3 linked regions of the Rattus norvegicus genome follow. The protein of the gene in region 3 purifies or fractionates together with the protein of the main gene of each other region. This does not show direct contact. Links are inferred from orthologs where the notes say so. Each region holds a gene or a part of one and is shown on either strand. Other genes may lie near its edges. The genes, in order: Stub1, Tarbp2 and Ago1.

Region 1 (3,749 bases), on a different chromosome or scaffold from region 3:
GAAATATACCCATCTCTAGCCCCATCAGCTCGGCCTCTAGAATGTACCATCCAGGCTGGTGAAGTCAGTAGCTGGTAGGTGGGGGTTGGGCTAACCCAAAAACTAGGGAATCAGACTATTTTTCCGTGCCCCTTCTCCCAGGCGCTGTACTTTCCTGATCGGTGGTGGCATGCCACACTCAATCTGGACACCAGTGTCTTCATATCCACTTTCCTTGGCTAGCCAACAAGCGACTGGCAAGCCCACTGCACCAGCACATGCCAATGTAGTGCTCACAGACTTTATTACAGGACAGTGGCAGCAGCAGCAGCAACCCACCCTCACCAGCTCTCCAGCCCAGAAGGGAGACAAGGGAGGCTCATGGCCCAGCAAGGGATATGCTGAGAAGGGGAGCAGTTCAGAACCCATCATCAGGACCGATGGGGGCAGGCCCAGGGACACAAACTATATACAGGGACTGGAGCTTCTGCCTCCAGACCCTCCTGGGCCAGGGTGCCAGGCAGGACATGGGGTATCAGTAGTCCTCTACCCAGCCATTCTCAGAGATGAAAGCATCAATGACTTCCTTCATGGCTAAGTTGGGGATGAGCTGTTCCTGGGTCAGAGGGCTCCGGGTCACAGGATCGAAATGGCCCACGCGCTGCAACGACAGAGTCAAGAGTATTCAATGGCCTGAGTGTCCCCTGATCCCAGTCCCGAGACCACAGGCCCTCCTTACCTGCAGGTGCTCCTCAATGTCCTTGCGGTCATAGGTGATGCCACTGGGTGTAATGCAGGGTTCCCGCATCAGCTCAAAGCTGATCTTGCCACACAAGTAGTCAGGGATATCTCGCTTCTGCAGCACAAGAGGGAAATGTCTGCAACTGGAAAGGAAGTCACCATACCAGAGCCTGCCCATGAGCTTCAAGGCTCCGTCCTTACCTTTCTTTTCTCATCCACCTGAGAGAAGAGCTCATTCATGTCCGCCATGTATTTATCCTGCAGAGTTGAGCGCCATGTGTGGGCAACTCCTGTCTCCTCCACACAGACACACACACTCTGTCCACCGGGGCACTCATGTCATGCATGGGCCAACAGAGCCACCATAGGCTGGGGCACTTCTCATGCCACACACAAAAACACACACACAACGACCCACATGTGGACTAGGGGCACCCTCACGTGCTTGGCCTCAATGCAGGCCTGCTGGGCCCTGATGTGGCCATCATCCTCATCACCCTCGTGGTTCCGCTGACACTCTTCCAGTTCCCTGAGGGTCAAGAAAAAGCCAGCTGGTGATGGCCCCAACAGGGAAATGACAGATCCCTTCCCATCTCAGGCCTCTTTCCTCCCGGGCTTCCCATGTACCGGCTGCTGTCCTTTAATAAACACTTGCACTGTTGACTCGGTGTTAACTGTTGGGGGCGGGACCCACCTCTCTCGCTCAGCAGCAATGAGCCTGGTGAGATAGGAGTGCAGCTCACTCTCCTGGTGGATGCGCCGTTCCTCGATACTGTTCCAGCGCTTCTTCTTAGCAATGCGAAGGGCACTAGGAATATCATCCCCAAAGTTGAGTCGCTGCTCCTTGGCCAAACTATAGGCTGGGGGAGTGGACACTTTAGGTTACACTTGTCAACAATCCTGGCCCCAAAGGTGCCCACAATCTGGCATCTTGTCAGCCCACCTCGCTGCAGATTGGCAATGGCCTCATCATAACTCTCCATCTCTAGCTGGCACTGCCCCAGGAAGAAGTGCGCCTTCACAGACTGCCCATCCAGCTCCAGGGCTCTCCGGCAGTCAGCAAGTGCCTGTTCAGGCTGCTGCATCTTCAGATAGCACAGGGCCCGGTTGGTGTAGTACACTGCCACAAGTGGGTTCCGGGTCTGGGAACCAAGATCAGGTGACAAAGAATGTGGGCTCATCTGATCCCCTCTCTAATAGCAAGCTGAAAGCCAATGATCCGGACAATTCTCCAGCATTGGGGGCCCATGGGTGGAAGAGAGGAACTGGAGATTTCCGAGTTATCAGAGCTCTGGATTCTAGCCATGCTCTCTTGCCTCCAACTGTTTTTGAGAAAAATCCCAGAACCCCTCCACCAGCTTTAGGCTTGGGAGCCTCAAGGGGCAAGAATTTCTGGTGTCATCCTTAGCTTGCCTCAATCAAGCATCCCGCCCGCCAGTCCCCAGTCAATCTGCCCTGGATTCGGGAACAGCAATCCGGGTCTAGGCTGCCAGAAATCGTCCGGGAATCACAGAACTGGGAGGCACATCGGGCCCCGCCCCCGCCCCCGCCCCCCGCACTCACGATGGCGCGGCCGTAGCAGGCCGCCGCCTCCGGGTACTTGCGGCCCACGAAGAGCCGGTTTCCCTGCTCCTTGAGCTCTTGCGCACTCGGGCTCTTATCAGGGCTGCCGCCGCCACCAGTGCCCAGCCGCGCGCCGCCCTCCTTTTCCTCCTTGCCCTTCATGGCGCCGCGCGGCACGGCTTGGGCTCCGCGCCCGGCCACCTAGATCTCGCAGCCCGCGCAGCTATCAGCTCCGCCCGGTCGGCGATCCGCCACCGGAACTTCCGGTGTGGGGCGGGGCTGGCATGGGGACACGTGAGCAAAGGCGGAGCCTCGCGGATTGAGCGGGTTCGCTTAGCCCGGAGAAGCTACCGCTGCGCTCTCTACCGGCCCCGCCCTACAGTAACTAGGACCTACCCTCAATATTCAGACCAAGGCTCCGCCCATTGGCAGTCAAGCCCCACCCTCCGGCCCACGCCACGCGAACGTGGCAGCGGTCCGTGCTGGAGAAGTGGCGCTCCGAGGGCCGGTCACTAGGCCCAGGTCCTAGCGCGCCACCGGGGCGCACGCGGGCTCATGCGGCAGCCTGGGAACGTCTAGACCGCTGGTAGGACGGCGGAATTGAGGGAAGGAGAGAGGCCCGCAGGTCAGACCACCCTCGAGAGGCTTCCTCGGGAATCGGGAGAAGCTGCCTGCGGCCATTACTGGCTGAGAAACAAGCACGTGACGCGTTGACTCGAAAGGACCTGCTGCGGTTGCTATAGAGGTAGCTGCGGGTCCGCGGCTGGACGCTCCCCTTCTGCGGTCATGGGGCGGAGCTTCTTCAAGGGCGGTGCCAGCAGGTTTCCGTGGAGAGAGCCTGCACCAAGACCCTTTGACCCCAGGTCTGTAGATGAGGCATTTTTAGCCGCTGCTGCATCAGCTGTTGGCCGCTAACATCCCCCACCCGGGACTTGGAGAAGCAAAACTCGGCTTTCTGCCGATCTGTGCGCCGCAGTCAAACTTCGCTGCGTGGTTTCTGCCACTGCCTCGAGTGAGTAGGGAGCATCTTTGCACAAGTTGGGTGGGGGCTCTAGGAACTCAAAAAAAAAATGTCCCCAGAACCTCCTTGTCACTCTTTGCAGTGGCTACAGTTCCTGGCTTGCTAACGCTGCAGCATACACTCAAGTACTACTTGCTGTTTCTAGCCCAGGTGCAAGAGCTCACTGCATTTCTGAGCAGGGGCCTGAGGGGTCACCCAGGACCCCATCATGGTTCCGATGGTTAGTAACTCGACCCCAGAACTCTTGTAGATCTCTAGTGCCTTAGAGCTGTCTGTAGACGCTTCATCTTGTGAAGAGAGCACTGCAAACTTGGACTATGGGCAGATGTATGCCCAGACCTGCTGCCTGAACTTCACCCCAACTGGTTCTCCCATAAGGACTATAGACCTGCCAAGAATTACAGGACCCAGGCCAAGTGAACCTGGCTCTGTCTCGGGCTTGCCT
Region 2 (2,766 bases), on a different chromosome or scaffold from region 3:
GTGTTCTGCTCCAGGCCATGGAGAGACCTAGAAGGAACCCAGCCTTCTTGTTTCAGCCCCAGAGGTGAGTTCCAAAAGGCAGAGGCTGGGAAGGGAGGAGGGCAGAGGAAGATGTGAGGGAAGGTGAGATACAGGGAGTGCCGACTAAAGATGAATCTCTCCTAAGGTTTGGCAGAAATGCTTGGGGGCCCTGGAGCAAGGAGCAGCTAAGTCCCCAGGCTAGAGAGTTCTGGAGCCTGGCCGCTCCTCAGCGCTTTGGGAAGAAGTAACATCATCTGCTGTGATATGTCTGCATGCAAAATCACTTCCCCACATTCCATGTGTGCCCCCAAATAAAGTGGTCTGGCTTCTGCATCTGTGTTTGGACAAGACTCTCAGGGAACGGGTGGGAGCCCAAGAGCAATAGTTATAGCCTCCTTTACCTCCACTCAATCAGTCTCCAGCCATTCTGCTGGAGGGTCCCCAAGGCTACTGCACCTTGCCTCCTGCCTGTAGCAAAAAGAATGGGGTTCAGAAGGAGAACAAACACTGTGTATTCCTTTGACACCCTCATGACCCAGGGCCAGAGAACACAGGGTTTAAGAAGCCAAAGAGCAGCATTTATTCTGGATTCCAATAGAATTCCAATTTCCTTTCATTCATCATCCATGGAATGAGGGCAAACCCTGCGCTGGCTGGGGCCCTGTGGTTCATGGCTCCTTGCTTGCCTTTGCCTTCCTCAGTCTCAAGGCAGGCAAGCTGTGTCAGAGGTAGAGATGGCACCTCTGGAGGGCACCAGAGCTAGGCAGACGCATAGACCCAGGGCAGAAGGAGCAAGAAGTAACAGATATCCATCACTGTAGTGGGTGCTATTTGCTACCGGCCATGATCCTGAGGTACTGTAGTGCGCGGCGAGCAGCATCACCTCGGGCTGCCTCCCTGGTAGTGGCAGAACCATAACACACAGTGGCTGGCTGCGTGGACAGCTCCACTAGACACTGGCAGAGCCCACTCAGGCTCAGTTCCTCTGGAAGCCAAAAAAGAGGGAGGCACTGGTGGGGAGGGGCACCAAGCAGTGTACATCACCCATCTCCCAACTCCTTTATACTTGCTCTGATCCAGTCCCCTCCATCCCCAGTCCCTGGCTGGCCATACCAATATCCAGATAGCTGACATGGAAAGCCTGCTCCGCAGAGAGCTCACTGAGGATGCTGCAGCAGGCAGAGCCCAAAGACCCCAGAGAGCCCACGGAGCAATTGCGAAGGGACAGGATCTTTTCTCCCACAGAATTCCGTAAGGAATCCCAGGTGCAGCCTGGCCCACGGTTCCTTAGTCCATCCAGGCGGGAGCTCACGCCCTAATGAGATAAGGGTGAGAATGCAGCTAAGAACCCAAGAACAGGGCATACTCTGACCCCTGGCAGGCTTCCTCATCCCAGGAAAAGTTGCTACAGGGCCTTTGCCCTAGGCCAGCTTTCCCTAGTGACCCTACACATAGGCTGAGGGGACTGCTAGGTGTCACAGGTTCAAAGAGCCCTGGGTTTGGTAGAGAAGCAGGTCCAACTCACTTCCAAATCACAGACCCAACCCAATTCCACACCACGTCCTGCAGTGTGAACCACATGGCGAGCCCACACAAGCCACTTACAATGGAAAAATGATCGTCATCAGGTTCAGCCTCGTTGCCGTCGCGGGCATCCAGAGGTACCGTGTGCACTCGAAGCAGCATCTTAGCTGCCGCGTTGCGCTTTGCCAGCTTCTTGGAGGTCCCACTGCCTGAGGATAGGGAAGGAATTGTTCGATTTGGGGATTCCTAACAGACCAATGCTTTCCCTCTAAGTTAACTTGGATAGAAGGTCCCCTTATGGGATAACTGCAAAGAGGAGCTCAAGGCCTGTTCGTTTTCACTGAGGAGTTGATGAGCCAGAAAAGAGGGGAAAGATGGGCAGGGACAAGGAAGAGACAGGGAGGGAAGAACTGAGCAAGGAGCTGCAAAGCAAAGAAAGTTGGGACAGAGCACAGCCAGGCAAAGAGCCACCTTGTGTGGGGCTATAGTGTGGCGGAGAGAAGGTGAGTGAACCCCCTTTTCCCCAGTTACCAATCTCAATGAAACGCTCCACCCGGCAGGTCATGGTGAACTCTTTGCGGTGAGCAGGCCCAGACTCCTGGGTCACCATGTACTCTGGCAAACGCCAGCCTTTCTGCACCACCAGCTCCTTGAGAGAAAAACAGAAGAGTCCAAGGTTTAATGGGGAAAGAAAGGTTCCTTACCCGAGTGGCTTTCTACCAAGAGCCTCAGCCTCTGAATGAGAAGGAGGACCACCCCACCCACGAGGGCGCACATCCCTGCCTCAGGGCCCTAGTTCAGAGAAGACAGCACACACGACAATGAAGATGAGGCACACCTGCAGAGCACCAACAGGGTTGCACTCAGACTGCTGAGGAGAGACAGGGGGCTGCATCTCCATGGGAGGGCTCCTAAAGGAAAAACGGCCCAGACCAACGCTGAGGAAAACGGTTCCTTCTGTCCTGGACAAGGATGAAGTGCCAGCCACTGCCACCTCCCAATTCTTCACCAGGCAGGCAGCTATCTGTCCAAACATCTAGCCTTGCTCCTCCCTCCCCAGTCTCCACCAAGTGAGGCTCGCTACTTCCTAGTAGCATTTAGATGTGGAAATACTTCAGTAAAATCCCTGTGACAGAGGTAAAGGAGCAGTACAGCCGGTCCTGGAGTACCTTTTGGGTCTCAAACAAGGAGCCTGTAAGATGTTTAAACAATCTAACATTC
Region 3 (3,649 bases):
AGACTAAAAGCTGGGGGCAGGGCGAGGTTGGGGAGGAGAGACTGTACAGCTGTGGCGCTTTCCTGGGGATAGATAGAATGGCAAAGAGGTAGTTGTTTCCCCCTGCCTCCTTCCCTAGTTTGGGGATGAAGTGGAGAGATGTTCTCCATTTTCTCTGAACCCTGACCAGGAGCGTGCTCTCAGGCACTGGTGTGCTGTCCAGCTCTGGGATGGTGAGAGCTCCAAGGGGAGTGTCTGTCTCACCTCATCCCTGTAATTTCTGCTTTGCCCTTGGTTCTTCTAGAGGGATGTCTCTCAGAATTTCAACTGATTATTCAGACTAGGAGGCAAAAAGTGAATGGAATCCTAAAACTTGGGAAAGGGAAAGATATATCTGAAAAGGGACAAATGCTTCTGCACAGAGTTTGTGTTTGTTTGGGACAGTTGCAAGCATGGTTGTGTGGTTGTGCACTCTTGTGGTGTGCCTATCGGTTTGTTTGTTCATTTATGTGATATGAGCATATGAAGTACCTGTCTTTATGCCCGGCACTAGCTTGAGCTGTGATTAAGTCAAGTATGGTCCCTTCTTTTGAAACACTGAGTCCTCACTGATGGTGAAGAGCGTATGTAGAACGGTAAGCTTTAGAGCGCTTGCATGTGAGAGGGGTGCGTGTTTGTCAGTGGGGCTCGTATGCAGTATCCATTCAGCCCTTTCTGGGATAGGTGGGACTAGTTTATTAGTTCCCTTGTAGCTGAGTTCTGAGGGACTTGGTATTTTCCTCTGCAGAAAGGGGCTGGGGCTGATTTGACAGGTGGTTTAGAGGGAGTCAAGTCCTTCAGCTTTGGAAGGTGTGCACCTCCCACAAATGACCCACCTCTTCCTGACCCCCCTGCCTAAGATATGCTCCATACCCTCCCACCCCTGTCCCATCCCCCAGTCCTGTGTGTCTATGAAAGCAGAGCTCTGGTAAAGAGGGCGTTTGTCCCTCTTCCACCTATGCTGGTCCTCTCTCTGCTGGAAAGAACAATAGTAGCAGAGGACAAAGGCTCTACTTAGTGTACACACACACACACACACACACACACACACACACACACACACACACACACACACACGGAGTAGGAGAGGGAGACTGAGGAGCAGTCATGCTGGCCTATCCTAGCCCTTCCTTCCCCAAGGGCCCCTTCTGTTCTGAAATCGATCCTTTCTGCCGTCTGGACCCTCCCTCAGTGTGGAAAGATTTGTGAAGAATGGAAAGTGTCTTATATTCCCTTTCTGACCTGGTGTCTCCCCTCTTACTGTTCTTCCTCCTTCCCGAGCCTTTAGCTTTCTTCATGTGAGCTTTTATTTTCTTCCGTTTCTTCATTCTGCATCTTGATAGTTTTTTCTCTGTACCCCAACCTTGCCCTACCTGTACCCTTCCTTCCCTCCTTTTTCTACCCAATTCAAGGCATTTTCTCTTGTGACCTCCAGATCCGACCTTCTCCCCGCCCTGGCAGCCTCTTCTTAGCCTGCAGATGCTGTCCTTCTACCCTTTTCTTTCTGTCTCCCCAGAGCCAGCATTCCCTGTCTCAGTCCTGTCTCAGGCCCTGCCCTTCCCAGCCTGCCTTTCTTGAGGTTGTTCACCTGTCCACATTAACAGAGGATATCATCCCAAAGTTCTGGTGCCGTTTTGTGTTCTGGATGCTAATGAGTGAAATGAGCTTCTCGAGTAGCACAGAATCAATCGATCGTTCTTAAACTGGCATATACCTACCTGGTAGAGACAGGTGTCTCAATCTAGTAGAGATGGAGGAAAGCGTTGTGAACTAGGAACTTAGCTACTTTTCTTGAACTCATTACACATTTACTTGTTGAAGTTGTAGACACACATTTTCCTAACTGAAGAAAGGTTTAAAACAAAAATAAAAGTAAAATAAGCCATTGGAAAATCCAGTGAGCCTGGGAATGTCCAAGCTGGTGGAAGCCCCTGCTGGGTGAGGAAAGAGGAACGAGACCCACGGTCTTGGTCTGAGAGGCCTTGTCTGATCACAGCAGTTAGAAGATGGCCAGACTCTGTCCTCACTGGCTTCTTTGTCTTCACAGCTGCAGGTGCCTACCTGCCTCCCCTGCAGCAGGTGTTCCAGGCCCCTCGCCGGCCTGGCATCGGCACTGTGGGCAAACCGATCAAGCTTCTGGCCAATTACTTTGAGGTGGACATTCCTAAGATTGACGTCTACCATTACGAGGTGGACATCAAGCCGGATAAGTGTCCTCGCAGAGTCAACCGGTAAGTGATGACTGTGGGTGGCACCGAGTCCAATTTATTAAACAGGGAAAGAGGAAACATGTCGGCCGGAGAACTCTGTAAGAACAGAGCACATTCTAGCACTTGCTGAGATAGGTGACTCCAGAGATTTTAAGAATGAGACTTAGGTAAGGAGCCCGGTAGAGAAGGAGAAGTTAAAAGGCAAGGCTAAAATGGCGGGGGTAAGAGCAAGATGGATGGTGTTCTTGCTTGCAGGGGATGTTCCGGGATGCATATTTGGAGAGATTAATCGTAGAAGAAGCAGATTAAATTGGTTTATTATTACTGGAAAACCATATTCACAATTAAAAACTAGGAATTTTTTTCAACAGTCTTGAGTGTATTTTCAGATATTTTTCTGTGTATACATTCATTATAATATGGACATGAATATATAATACATTTATAGTAATATATTCCCATCAATTACTGTTATTACTTATTAATTATATTAATAACCATATATAATATTACATTATTACATATTATTGTATATGCGTATACACAAACATGTGCATACATATACACATTGGTTTTATACAAGTATTACATATAATACAATATATGTGCATTAATATGTGTATATATGTAATGTATGAGCATATATAATAATAATGTAAGATTCTATATACTTTGTTCAATATTGTCCATTTTTCTGTTTAACCATATATTTTGGAAAATAGTATATATTAGTATATATAAATCTGCCTTATTCTTTTGTGTAGAGCCCTAGATAGTCCTTGAAATGACCACATAATTTGCTTGATCTATTGTGGGATATTTAGGTAGAGTCTAAACTTTGCAACAAGATTGAAACTGTTAAGTATTATATAAAGATACATATTTTCACAGATGTGTGAGTGTATCTGTAAGATAGAAGTCCTAGGAGTGGAATGACTGCCACAAGGCAGTTTAAATTGAGACATTGTCCATTCCTGAGGCAGTGTCAGAAGAACTCAGGAGTAAGACAGAGGAAAAGATGATACAGGAGAGAAAACAGTGGTAAAACTTCCAAGAGCTGGAGAAAGGACTCCTACCCTGTATTTTATTATTTCTAGGCCAGTTCAGATCCGTTCCTTTCTTTCCTTTCCGTCTTTGTTTGGCAGACAGGATAGACCTGGGAACAGGCCCTTCCCCTTCAGAAGGTCTGTGGAGGTCTCATGATCTGAGGACCAACAGTATTACTGTAGGATTTTGGAAGTGTGGGTTCTAAGTGTGGGTTCAAATCAGAAGATGACTTTAATGAAACCTGATGATTCATAGGAATGTTGGAAGCTTGAGGTGTATTGCCACGGAGTAGACCTTAAACATGAGTGTGGTACACGGGATGTTGCCTCAATTTTGAGCTGTTTCCAAAAGCCAGAGTGACAGCCTCAGCTTCC

What was found.
Region 1: the proteins of Ago1 (region 3) and Stub1 purify together in Homo sapiens (affinity purification with mass spectrometry; 3 studies listed by BioGRID and IntAct, with this or other methods). This does not show direct contact. The link is inferred for Rattus norvegicus from reciprocal best matches to the Homo sapiens genes AGO1 and STUB1.
Region 2: the proteins of Ago1 (region 3) and Tarbp2 purify together in Homo sapiens (co-immunoprecipitation; 4 studies listed by BioGRID and IntAct, with this or other methods). This does not show direct contact. The link is inferred for Rattus norvegicus from reciprocal best matches to the Homo sapiens genes AGO1 and TARBP2.

What each region holds. Positions count from the first base shown.
Region 1 is NC_086028.1:15,355,012-15,358,760, forward strand, and holds Stub1 (E3 ubiquitin-protein ligase CHIP), read right to left. Parts: upstream 2,549-3,749; 5' UTR 2,446-2,548; coding exon 2,284-2,445; intron 1,863-2,283; coding exon 1,664-1,862; intron 1,581-1,663; coding exon 1,415-1,580; intron 1,382-1,414; exon of another isoform or gene 1,250-1,381; coding exon 1,162-1,249; exon of another isoform or gene 979-1,161; coding exon 922-978; exon of another isoform or gene 836-921; coding exon 719-835; exon of another isoform or gene 641-718; coding exon 515-640; 3' UTR 267-514; downstream 1-266. Other genes in the region: Jmjd8 (jmjC domain-containing protein 8), read left to right, coding at 1-63, 142-222. UniProt on the Homo sapiens protein: E3 ubiquitin-protein ligase which targets misfolded chaperone substrates towards proteasomal degradation.
Region 2 is NC_086025.1:135,530,638-135,533,403, reverse strand, and holds the end of Tarbp2 (RISC-loading complex subunit TARBP2), read right to left. Parts: intron 2,457-2,766; coding exon 2,384-2,456; intron 2,195-2,383; coding exon 2,077-2,194; intron 1,755-2,076; coding exon 1,627-1,754; coding exon of another isoform or gene 1,623-1,626; intron 1,337-1,622; coding exon 1,135-1,336; intron 1,007-1,134; coding exon 849-1,006; 3' UTR 578-848; downstream 1-577. Other genes in the region: Npff (pro-FMRFamide-related neuropeptide FF preproprotein), read left to right, coding at 1-64, 167-269. UniProt on the Homo sapiens protein: Required for formation of the RNA induced silencing complex (RISC). Component of the RISC loading complex (RLC), also known as the micro-RNA (miRNA) loading complex (miRLC), which is composed of DICER1, AGO2 and TARBP2.
Region 3 is NC_086023.1:144,035,021-144,038,669, reverse strand, and holds part of Ago1 (protein argonaute-1), read left to right. Parts: intron 1-2,065; coding exon 2,066-2,249; intron 2,250-3,649.